Linked DNA regions of Macaca fascicularis. The protein of the gene in region 3 interacts with the protein of the main gene of each other region in a biochemical or structural test. Links are inferred from orthologs where the notes say so. Each region holds a gene or a part of one and is shown on either strand. Other genes may lie near its edges.

What was found.
Region 1: the proteins of SPI1 (region 3) and MECP2 form a complex in vitro, tested with the Homo sapiens proteins (2 studies listed by BioGRID). The link is inferred for Macaca fascicularis from reciprocal best matches to the Homo sapiens genes SPI1 and MECP2.
Region 2: the proteins of SPI1 (region 3) and IRF8 form a complex in vitro, tested with the Homo sapiens proteins (3 studies listed by BioGRID). The link is inferred for Macaca fascicularis from reciprocal best matches to the Homo sapiens genes SPI1 and IRF8.

What each region holds. Positions count from the first base shown.
Region 1 is NC_088395.1:160,098,730-160,102,373, forward strand, and holds part of MECP2 (methyl-CpG-binding protein 2), read right to left. Parts: intron 3,543-3,644; coding exon 3,192-3,542; intron 2,649-3,191; coding exon 1,565-2,648; 3' UTR 1-1,564. UniProt on the Homo sapiens protein: Chromosomal protein that binds to methylated DNA. It can bind specifically to a single methyl-CpG pair. It is not influenced by sequences flanking the methyl-CpGs.
Region 2 is NC_088394.1:81,800,818-81,804,461, reverse strand, and holds part of IRF8 (interferon regulatory factor 8), read right to left. Parts: intron 2,762-3,644; 5' UTR 2,761-2,761; coding exon 2,587-2,760; intron 1-2,586. UniProt on the Homo sapiens protein: Transcription factor that specifically binds to the upstream regulatory region of type I interferon (IFN) and IFN-inducible MHC class I genes (the interferon consensus sequence (ICS)). Can both act as a transcriptional activator or repressor.
Region 3 is NC_088388.1:18,465,669-18,470,026, reverse strand, and holds the start of SPI1 (transcription factor PU.1), read right to left. Parts: upstream 2,891-4,358; 5' UTR 2,724-2,890; coding exon 2,679-2,723; intron 98-2,678; coding exon 1-97. UniProt on the Homo sapiens protein: Pioneer transcription factor, which controls hematopoietic cell fate by decompacting stem cell heterochromatin and allowing other transcription factors to enter otherwise inaccessible genomic sites.

The DNA.
Region 1 (3,644 bases), on a different chromosome or scaffold from region 3:
TAGAAGGGTGAAAAGGCTCGTTGTTCAGGGTGGGAAATGCCTTTTGCTTTTTCTTGCCAAGGAAGAGGGGGCTACCTAGGAGAGCAAGACCTTGCTGCTCTCTTGCTCTTCACAGACAGGCCAGGTAGGACTCAGAAGAGCCCAAGGCCTCCTCAGGGCTCAAAACAGGGTGGGGCTGGTACTGGCAGCAGGAGGACAAAGGGCAGGCAGAGTTCTAGGGACTGGAGCCGACACGTGTGGTTGGGCACTGCGGCTGCCTGGAAGAGAAGGGATGAACTAGGAAGGAGGACAGAGGAAGGGAAAGAACTGAAAGAATGAAATGAACAAAAGGCAGAAATGGAAGCAGAGAAGAGAAACCAATCAGGAAGTCCTTATAAAATTGCAGCAAACACTTAGAGTTTCGGAGCTTCGTGGGAACCCTATGTGCTGAGCCCACTTTAAAACAAGCGCAGGTATATATACATATCCAGGTAGTTCTCAACACCATCACATCTGGTGGCCTGAGGGACTAAACGTCACCAATTCAAGCCAGTTTGCTCTCAGAGCATCTGTTTGTTTTGAAGTGGGAACATGAAGACTCAATAGTGCAAATAATTCTAAGCTGTCCCTAAAGGAGTAGAATTGGAAAGTAACTGGAAGAACATTTTCTTCTCCTCCCCCTTTGCCCCTTCCCTGTCCACTAAGTCCCTAACTACCGGTCACAGACTGCTCTGAGACGAGGAATCCCTCTCACCCCGCTGTGTTCGGCCCGGCCTGACCCTGGGCCAGCCTGCCTGTGCCTTGTCCTACTGCCTCCATGGCCTCTCTAGTGCCACCAACTGGAGGACGTCCCTTGAGAATGGACCATGCCACCTCACCCTGGGCCATCCTCTCCTGTGATTCAGGCCAGTCTACACCCAGTAGTTCAAGGGACAACTCCCTCCTAGCCATGCCGGAACAGACAGGTGCCACTTTCCTGTCCTGTGAAGCGTCCTTGCCAGTTTTGGATTGGGGCTGGGGTGGGGCCAGATTTGAGCCGCCACGGGTGGGATCGCACGGGCCATAGCCACTGGTCACATCCATCTCTAAAGAATCCAACTGTCTCTCCTGCCTCACACCTCCCTGTCCCAACGTGGTTGGGAGTGGGGGAGGTGGGGGGAGCTGGGGGAGTGGTAGACGGGGCACTGATGGCACCGAAAACGGGAGTGTCCTCTCAACTGCTCTGTCTCTAACGACCACATGGGGGAAAGGTTTGGGCGGGAGGGGAGGTGCCTGGTCAACAGCTTGTCTGGTCAGTAGTATCTGCAGCAAGCCTTGTTGAAGGAGCCTAGTTTAGAAAAGTGCAAAGCTACTTCTGGCCCTGGTTAGGTCTTCAACCTGACTGTGCTTGTCGGTAAGAAAAACATCCCCAATGCTCCAACTACTCCCACCCTGAAGCCACGAAACTCTAAGTTTACTGAAAGAAAAAAAAATATTTTTTATTTCAGTTAATCGGGAAGCTTTGTCAGAGCCCTACCCATAAGGAGAAGAGACAACAGCTGCCTTTATTCTTGTTGGTTTGCTTTGCAATCCGCTCTGTGTAAAGTCAGCTAACTCTCTCGGTCACGGGCGTCCGGCTGTCCACAGGCTCCTCTCTGTTTGGCCTTGGCATGGAGGATGAAACAATGTCTTTGCGCTCTCCCTCCCCTCGGTGTTTGTACTTTTCTGCGGCCGTGGCGGCGGTGGCGACCGCGGGCTGAGTCTTAGCTGGCTCCTTGGGGCAGCCGTCGCTCTCCAGTGAGCCTCCTCTGGGCATCTTCTCCTCTTTGCAGACGCTGCTGCTCAAGTCCTGGGGCTCAGGGGGGCTGGTGGGGTCCTCGGAGCTCTCGGGCTCGGGTGGAGGTGGGGGCAGGGGTGGGAGCAGCGGCACGGGGGCCTTTGGGGACTCTGAGTGGTGGTGATGGTGGTGGTGCTCCTTCTTGGGGGGCGAGGAGGCGCTGCTGCTGCGCCCCTTGGGGCTGCTCTCCTTGCTTTTCCGCCCAGGGCTCTTACAGGTCTTCAGTCCCTTCCCGCTCTTCTCACCGAGGGTGGACACCAGCAGGGGCTTCACCACTTCCTTGACCTCGATGCTGACCGTCTCCCGGGTCTTGCGCTTCTTGATGGGGAGTACGGTCTCCTGCACAGATCGGATAGAAGACTCCTTCACGGCTTTCTTTTTGGCCTCGGCGGCAGCGGCTGCCACCACACTCCCTGGCTTTCGGCCCCGTTTCTTGGGAATGGCCTGAGGGTCGGCCTCAGCTTTTCGCTTCCTGCCAGGGCGTTTGATCACCATGACCTGGGTGGATGTGGTGGCCCCACCCCCCTCAGCCTTGCCCCCTGGCGAAGTTTGAAAAGGCATCTTGACAAGGAGCTTCCCAGGACTTTTCTCCAGGACCCTTTTCACCTGCACACCCTCTGACGTGGCCGCCTTGGGTCTCGTGGTGCCGCTCCCTTTGGGGCGTCCCCGGCCTCTGCCAGTTCCTGGAGCTTTGGGAGATTTGGGCTTCTTAGGTGGTTTCTGCTCTCGCCGGGAGGGGCTCCCTCTCCCAGTTACCGTGAAGTCAAAATCATTAGGGTCCAGGGATGTGTCGCCTACCTTTTCGAAGTACGCAATCAACTCCACTTTAGAGCGAAAGGCTTTTCCCTGGGGACTGTGGGGACAAATGGAAAGACACAAGAAACAATTAGAGGCTCTCCATGGCAATGTCAGAGATAGGGCAGAGCGGATGCTGGTGACAACACTCTGATAAACGTTACTACTGAACAAGAGTTACACTGCCTGGCTGCCCCTGAGGACCTGTCACCAAAGCCACTCACTCGTCTGCCTGCCGCTGACCCCCCCAGGCCTCTCCAAAGTCCAGCAACCAAAGAGTCAGGTCTGGTACAGAAGGGCTGTTGGGCTGAGGCCCATTCTGCCGGTTGGTGCCTGGGCCTGAGTCACCATCTAGAACATACCCAATTTTGAACTCAGGTATGGTGGTCAGTCTCTCCAGGAATCAGTTTCAATAAGATAATCCTTTGCTCACCCTTCTCAGGGTTATGGAATTAAATGATGCTGTCTGCAAATGTCATCTGAAAACTGCTAACCTTTTTGGGATCATTTAAGGGGCAGAACTGAAACATGCTTCTTCACTCCTCTGAACCCCTGTCCCTGCCCTCCCTGCCCTATAGAGGCAGGAGTTGCTCTTACTTACTTGATCAAATACACATCATACTTCCCAGCAGAGCGGCCAGATTTCCTTTGCTTAAGCTTCCGTGTCCAGCCTTCAGGCAGGGTGGGGTCATCATACATGGGTCCCCGGTCACGGATGATGGAGCGCCGCTGTTTGGGGGAGGCAGAAGCTTCCGGCACAGCCGGGGCAGACCCCGACCCTTCTGATGTCTCCGCTTTGCCTGCCTCTGCGGGCTCAGCAGAGTGGTGGGCTGATGGCTGCACTGGCTCATGCTTGCCCTCTTTGTCTTCTTTCTTATCTTTCTTCACCTTTTTAAACTTGAGGGGTTTGTCCTTGAGGCCCTGGAGATCCTGGTCTTCTGACTTTTCTTCCCTGAAGTGTTAAACAAGTATGTAAGTATCACAGAGAACATGCCAGTCTGCAGAACAAGTGGGCAGAGGCAGGCTTGGATCCCCACCACATGCAAGGCCCCAC
Region 2 (3,644 bases), on a different chromosome or scaffold from region 3:
TTGAAAGAAACAAGAGTCTACATAACCGAGAAATCCCTAAGATGGCTCTATCTGACCGAGGTTGACTTCATCCAACAGCCAAAGACCTATCCGGCCAACGTCACAGAGACAGGCCTCTCAGAGGACGGATGGGAACAAGCATAGCTCAGGGAAGCACCTGATGGGCTCTTGTTGGTGTCATGTCTCCAGTGGCACTGGTGGCCCTCCCGACGGCCTCCCTGCTCCAGTGGGCACCCGCGTCTCCCTCCTGGCCCCATTCCTGCTGAGATTGTAGACTCATTTCAGATTGCCACATCAGGCGACTGCGTAACCAACGGAAACATTGGGAATCTTGCACATTTTTCTCAACACTGTTGAAACGGCCATGAAGAACATTGCATAAGATGTATAAATCTGGGGCTTTATTTCATTACCCCCCGAGCACAAGTTGAAGCAGGGAATGGGGTGAAGGGAGAAGCTTAGTCTCTGTCAGCAAGCCACATGTCAGGGCTACACAGCCTAGTCCAGCACCCTGTGCCATGTCTTAAAGATGTTTTACTGATGTCCAACTTGCAACTGTGCCCTCAACACCCAACACCTCTGGTTAAGTCTGTTGATCCTGGCAGTGGCCAGCTCTTATCAGGGTTCTCAATGGGGAGGGGAAGACTCTGGCCCTCAGGAGACATTTGGCAATGTACAAGACATTTTTTATTGTGACAGTAGGGAAGGGGATGCTACTGGCACCTGGTGGGTAGAGGCCAGGGATGCCACTAAACATCCCACAAGGCCTAGGGAACCCTTACAACAAAGAATTGCCCAGACCCAGGCATCAACAGTGGCAAGGCAGAGAAATTCTGGCTTTTGGGGTTATCTATAATGCAGAGTTCCCAATCGACTGGATGGGACTCTGATACTGTTTAAATCTGCAGTCCTTCCCAAGAGAAGGTCACCATGATGCCAAAGGCAAAAAAAAAAAAAAAATCTGCAATCAAACAAGAGAGAAATCCACAACAGCACTAAGGGTGAGGAAGCAGGCAGTGGTATCACAAAATTCACTGGTGCTGAGGCTCCCTGACCTGGGGTTCTTCATCAGAAAGAATCTGGAGATGTGGGGGCACCAAGGGACCCCCTCGAAGGTGAGTGCAAAGCATTCCCTTGTCCCCATATTCCTTGGAGTGGTCAGTAATGGGCATCAGATTCTCAAGAAGACCAGCAACCTCAAATTGCAGATTTAACATAATTACTGAAATGCACAGCCCCGCTGCAAACATCGGTCAGGCAAAGATGTGCAGGACCAAAATGCATCTTAAGCCGCCTTTGACCTATTTATGGTCCACTCTGGAGTTAAGGTGTGATCTTTTGTCATTTTTGTTCTCTGGTGTCAGGGGATCGTCATCTGTGGCTGGGAGTCCAGCACTGTCATGGGGTCCTACAGCCTTGACTCCCTCCACACCTTGTTTGTGGTCTCAGGTCTGATTCTGGCCCCCAACAACTCAGCCCCCTTTGCCCCTCTCTCACACCCACTCTCCTCTCCCCATCCCTGGCCCCCAAATGCAAGAGAATAAGCACACATGGCAATGGCTTATAACCTGGGCTATGATTCAGTCTACGTGTAGTGTCCACATTTGCAAACGTGGAAGTCTAGGCTTGACCTTGACCTAGGGCTCCGAATCTCCCAGAGGTGAAACCTGGACATCTGGAGCCTTAGGGATGCCCACACAGCACTCTGATGACCCACAAGGAACTCAATAGCCCAGCTGGTCTGCAGAGCTGGGTTGCCCCAATTCCTGGTTCCTCTGTCTGAATCTAGGTGTAATGGCAAGAAATCTCTGTTGATCAGCTATTCTGGAGTTAGGACCAAGGGTTCACAGTTGGGCCATCTTGCATTTGAATGCTGGCTCCATCATACAAGAACTGTGAGACCTTAACAAGTCACTTCTCCTCTCAGCGCCTCTATAGAATGAGGGTGGGAACAGCATCTACCACACAGGATCGTGTGAGCAGAAAACAAGCCGTGGACCAGGCCTGGCACAGAACAAACCCTCCATCACATCTCTCCACACATGGGGAACTCATTACTCTCAAGGGAGGTGAGACCAGTTTTAGACATCTGCTGCAGGTTCACAACCCCCTACACGACCCAGCCCCCAAAGGAATGACAGATGGCATCTCACCCTCCTGAGCTGGCCCTACAATGCCAGGCAGAAGTATCAGCTTTGAAAGAACAAGGACTGAAACCTTCCCTGGTATATGCATCGCCTCTGACGGAAGCCCGCGGGAAAAGGTCTTAGTGTGAGGGTCTCCAAGAAGTCTTTTCTCCCACTTGGCTCATCAGGAAAAGGAAACGGCAGAAAAGGGAAGAAAAGAGGCTTCGACCCCCTCATCAGAATACAAGTGACCACAAAAGTGACTCTGTCTCTCAAGAGACGTGATATCAGTTCATGTACATTTTTGAGACACATTCTGCACTCCTGAACCAATGTTTGCTTTTTTAAAAACTGGATTACTTTTTAAGTAAATGAGAAAGACGTCACTCAACATCTCCACCAGTCCATGGGGGAAAGGAGACACTGTGCCCACAGAGAGGAAGCGAGCTGGGGTCTTTACCTTGAAAATGGAGGCATCCACTTCCTGATTATAATCTTGCTTGCCAGCGTGTTTCCAAGGGATCCGGAACATGCTCTTCTCGTCATTCTCCCAAATCAGTCCTGGATACATGCTACTGTCAATCTGCTCGATCAGCCACTGTCGAAGCCGCCGACCACCATTTCGGTCACACATCCTTGGAAAGACAGAAACACATGCTGCGATATTACGGATATTGTCTCATTCATCACAGCAACCCAAAAACTGCTAACAGGAAACTCAGAGGTTTGCAGCAAAGGTGCTGGCTTGGGGGAAACCCACAGATTCAGGGACTCCGGGACACCTGCCATGAGAAGGCAATGCTGGCCTCCGTGACCTCACAGCCCTGAATGCAAACTGAAAGCTCCTTGGGAAACCTGCAGCCACCTGAAGCCACCAGCAGCCCCCTGCGGGCCCCTCCCACTGTGCTGGCTGTGCTCCTTCCAGCTTTCACTGGCCCTTTCCTTTCAGGCAGATACAGCCACAGTGAACAGCTCCAGTTTTAGCACAAGACTGGAAGGGAAGGGGAAATCACTTCTACAGCACCGGGTTTCTTCACCGAGCAGCCCATTAGCCTAAGAACTGACTGGGTTACTGGATGCCCAGCTGGCCCCATATTCCCTGATAGAATACAGCGTCTGTGCCATCTGAGAAAGAGGAGGCCCTCAGGCTAGCCCGTCTAAACAGCTGTTCCTTCACAGTGATAAGAGCACGAGTTTAAGAATGAGACAGAACCGCAATCTCATTCAAGTCCTGCCACGGCTCAGCTGGGAGACCCTGGATCAGCATTTAATCTCAGGGCATCAGCTACCCAGTCCCAGATGAAACTCAGGAAAAACTACCAGTACTGGGTGTAGGGAGAACTCAGATGGTATACAGAAAGCAACTGAGACAGGGCCTGGACCTTACACGCCAGATGTCATTATTATTATCCAAACTTCCTGGGCAACTCCTATGACCAACTGAAAGAGACAAGCGTGAGGGAATAAACAGCAGCTACAGAACAGGGCAAAGTTCACTGGGTTCCTCTTCCAGAAGAT
Region 3 (4,358 bases):
TGTGACTCTCCCCATCACTGCTGAGATAGGGGTAATACTCGTGCGTTTGGCGTTGGTACAGGTCCGTGTCATAGGGCACCAGGTCTTCCGATGGCTGCTGAGAGAGGAGGTGTCAGGGCCTGCACTGTGTGGGGGGACCCCAACCAGGCCTGCAGCACCCCCGCATGCTGGGTCCCCACCACCTTCCTTGGCTCAATGACTGCGTTGGGCCTACAGTCCTCCCTCTGCCTAGAATTGGGACAGAGAGTGGGGCAGGGGACCCGGGAGGCCTGAAAAGGGGTGACAGGGACCTTGGGGGTCAGATGTCAGAAGAGGACCAGGGTCCCCCCCTGCTGGGCTACTCCCCATAGCCACCTCATGCTCACACTCACACTCATGCCTGTGTGCCCCCATCCTCATCCCACACCCCTCTTCTGGTCACACTGATGCACATGTCCACACGATCCCTGTGACACCCTCACACTCATAATCCCACATGTGGACTCACTCTCATAGCCCCTACCCACCCCGATGCAGGCGCCTGTACACTGTTCCTCTCACACACATCTTCACACCCACCCAGAAGTCACCCACCTCACAGAGATATTGTACACTCAGCTCATGCGCACACGCAGTCTCCTTGACACTCACATGACACCACGTTCCAGCCATCAACACACACACTCACACCCCCAGAGCCACTCACATTCCACCCGCACACTCACCTGCACAGCACACACTCGCCTGCCCAGTCCCACTGTCACAACCTATGCCTCTCACACAGCCTGGGCAAGAGTGGCACCACAATGACCGTCCACATGATGGTTGGTGCAGGGGTCACCGGGGCAGGCTTGGGGGCCGAGGGCATGGAGGGCCTTGATCCCCTCACTCTCCCTCCTGAGTCCTCCCTAACCTCCTCCTTCCCTCCTCACCGCCACCCCCACCCTGTCTCCTTTGCTTCCTCCTCCCCCTCCTCACTACCCTCTGTCCTCCTTTTCTTCCCCCTCCTCCCTGTCCTCCTCCTTTCCTCCTCCTCTTCCTCCCCCCCTTCCTCCCTCCTCCCTGTCCTCCTCCCCCTACTGGCACAGACACAGGGCCGTGCACACCCAGGAGCCTTCCCAACAGTCGTCAGCCCTCCCCGCCCCCACAGTGTGTGGCCCAGGATTGCACAACAGTCACTGTGGCCCTCAGGGCTGGGCTTGGGGGACTGGGGCTGCCTTGGGAGCCCACCCTACCAGGAGACACTCAGAGTGACCCTGGAGCTTGCAGAGAGGGCTGGGGGGCCTAGGGACGGCCCAAGGAGCTCTGCCACCCGTTCAGCTCCACCTGGAGTTCAGGATTGAGAGGTCAGGGGTCAGAGACAGTGGGCCTGTGGCTTTCTTGAGGCAGAATTGGCTCTTCCTGAGACAACCTCCATCACCCTCTGCCTGCGCCGCCCCCTTCGTGGTCCCAGGTGGGAAGGGGTGTCAGGGTGTGGATGCCACAGCGGGCTGGCTGGTCCTGCCTGGTCCTGCCTGTGTCTGGCCAAGTGAGGAGGCCAGGAGCCCAGCACTGAGCCTGCCCCTCTGGGTTTCCAGGTAGTGGAGCCTCGATGCAGGATGTCAGCCTGACTCTGGTCGGATTGGTGTGATGTCAGGCCTGGGGTGACTCCCAGCCTCCTGGGGTGGCTCTGAGCTGGGGCACGGTGGGGGAAGGGAGCTGCCTCTAGGCCAGGAAAGTGGAGTCAGGAGGGCATCCTGCCAAGCCCTTCCCGGCTCCCCTCAAGCCTCCCTACTCCTGAGAGGTCATGGGGTGGGAAAAGGGAGAAGGGTCCTCTCAGAGGGACCCTGGTCTGATACCTGCCTCAGGCTGCAACTGTCACTGAGAGTGAGGAGCAGTGGCGATCTGCTTCTCTTCTCAGGGTCCCCTGGGGTTCCCACTTTTTCACCCCCAAGATCCAGTCCCTGTCCTTGTCCCAGCCTCAGCCCCCATTCAAACTTGTCACATGCTCACCCCAGGTCCCACCCAGCCCCAATCTCAGTCCTGACCTTGTCCCAGCCCTGTCCCCTGCCGCGCCTCTCCCTGAACTCCAGCCCTGGGGCCAGCCTCAACTGCACTGTCTCAGCTCCACTCCTGGCTCCTTTCCAGCACCGGCCCCTGTCTCCTGTGGGTCCCCCTGTGGGCCTATGGCCCCGACCCTTTGGTCAACAATCATGTCCTCTGTGCCAGGCCCCAGACTGGGTGTTGGGGACCCAGAGTTCCATCAGCCTCGGTGTCCAGGAGCCCCAAGGCCATGGGCCAAGGCTTCTGCCTGTTGCCTCCTGCCTTCAGCCCCTTCCTGTCCAGGGGATCGGCCTCCTCCAAGCCAGTCCCCCCATCTCTCTCCTCTACCTCTCTACCACTGCCCTCACCATCCTCAGCCCAGCACCCTCCCCAGGAGCCCCGGCCTCCGCCTGCCACCCAAGCCCTGTCTATAAATAACTGTTCAGGCCCCACCGATCACAGCCCCACCATGGGCCCGGCCTCAGCCCGCCAGGGCATGCTCCGAGGAAGCCAGTGGCCCCCGCGCTGGGTCTCAGGCCAGGAGTTCCAGGGAGGAAACCCTGACTTCCCACTGATAGCAAGCCAGGAGGGCAGCGGGTGGGCTGGCGGGTTCATGGGCAGGCAGGCAGGCGTCCGAGGGCCACGGGTTGGGCTGGTGGAGGAGTCCCAGTACTCACAGGGGGGACGAGGGGAAACCCTTCCATTTTGCACGCCTGTAACATCCAGCCGGGCTCCGAGTCGGTCAGATCCCCTGCCTCGGTGGGGGCCAATGCAGAGCCCCTCAGGATGGGGTGCCCCGTCGGGGGCTGGACGGTCGTGGGGCGGGTGCAGGGCTCAGGCCTGCCCCCTGAGCTACAGGAGCCCTGCGTGAGCCCCCTCCCTTGACATTGCAGGGCCAGCACAAGTTCCTGATTTTATCGAAGGGCCTGCCGCTGGGAGATAGTCCCCTTGGGGTGACATCACCGCCCCAACCCGTTTGCATAAATCTCTTGCGCTACATACAGGAAGTCTCTGGCCGGCTGGGGCAGGTGGTGCTCAAAGGGCTGGCCTGGGAAGCCATGGGGTCCAGGCCCCCTGCCCAGAGGAAGCTGCGACTGAGAGGGATGACTTTGGGGGCTAAGCTGGGGAGGGAGGTTGGAAGGGAGAACGTGTAGCTCCGCCACACCACTGGGAGGCTTTTGCTCTAACCCAACAAATGTCTGCTGCTTTTGAGATCCCTATGTAGCCAACAGTCACCTTGTTGGGGTCAGAGCTGGAAGGGGTGGCCTCCTGGGGCCTCCACTTTCTGGGGTCAGCCTTGCTAGGTGAGGGCTCTGATCTGGCAGGCTAGGCCTGCCTCTTCCTGTGGCCCTGCACCCCCACTGCCCAGGCTGTCCCTCGGCTGAGGCTGGGCTCCGGGGTAGGGTCTTCAGCACACTGCTGCTTTCTTCCTTTCTTCCTTCCCTCTGAGTCTATTCACATGGGCTTCTCTTCCACTAGAAGAGGGTCCTGGGTCCTTATACCCTTCCCTCCCAGCTTCTTGAGTACCACATTCAAATCCCTAGGGCTCTGTTTCCAGCCCAGGTTTCTCAGTTTCCCCATCCCTTGCCAATGCCTGAATATGAATGTAACCTTCCTAGTTTACAAACCTTTCTTGCCTATCCACCATTCGTCTGTTTTCCCGTGCATCTGTTTGTCTGTCTGTTTGTCCATCCAGCTATCCATTCATCAAGCCCACCATGCATTCACTTATTTGTCCATTTATCCAACTCTCCATATATTTGTTCATTCATCTGTCAGTCAATTCATCCACCCACCCATCTGCTTATCTACTTGTCTGTCTAGCCATCTATATGTCCATTAATCAGCCCGTCCACCTACTATCAGTCCATCAGTCCACAATTCCATCTGTTTATCCATCTATAAACCTGCTCATGCATTCATCCACCTATGCATCCGTCCACCCATCCACTCATCCACCCATCTACCCATCCACTCATCTGTCCATCAACCCATCCATCATCCACCTATCCCTTCATTCATCCATCCATCCATCTACCAGTCCACTCATCCACCCATCTACCAGTCCACCCACCTACCATTCCACCCATCTATTCATTCACCTATCCATCCATTCACCTATCACCCATCACGCATCCATCCATCCCTCCATTCATCCATCCATCCATTCATCCACCCATCCACCCATCTACCCATCTACCCATTTACTTATCTGCCCATCCACCAATGCAGCCATCTACCCATTCACCCATCCACTCATCCACCCATCCATCCTTCCAGTCATCCATCCAGCCATCCACCAATACACCCATCCACTTATCTATCCATCCATCCAGCCATCCATCCATCCAGCCATC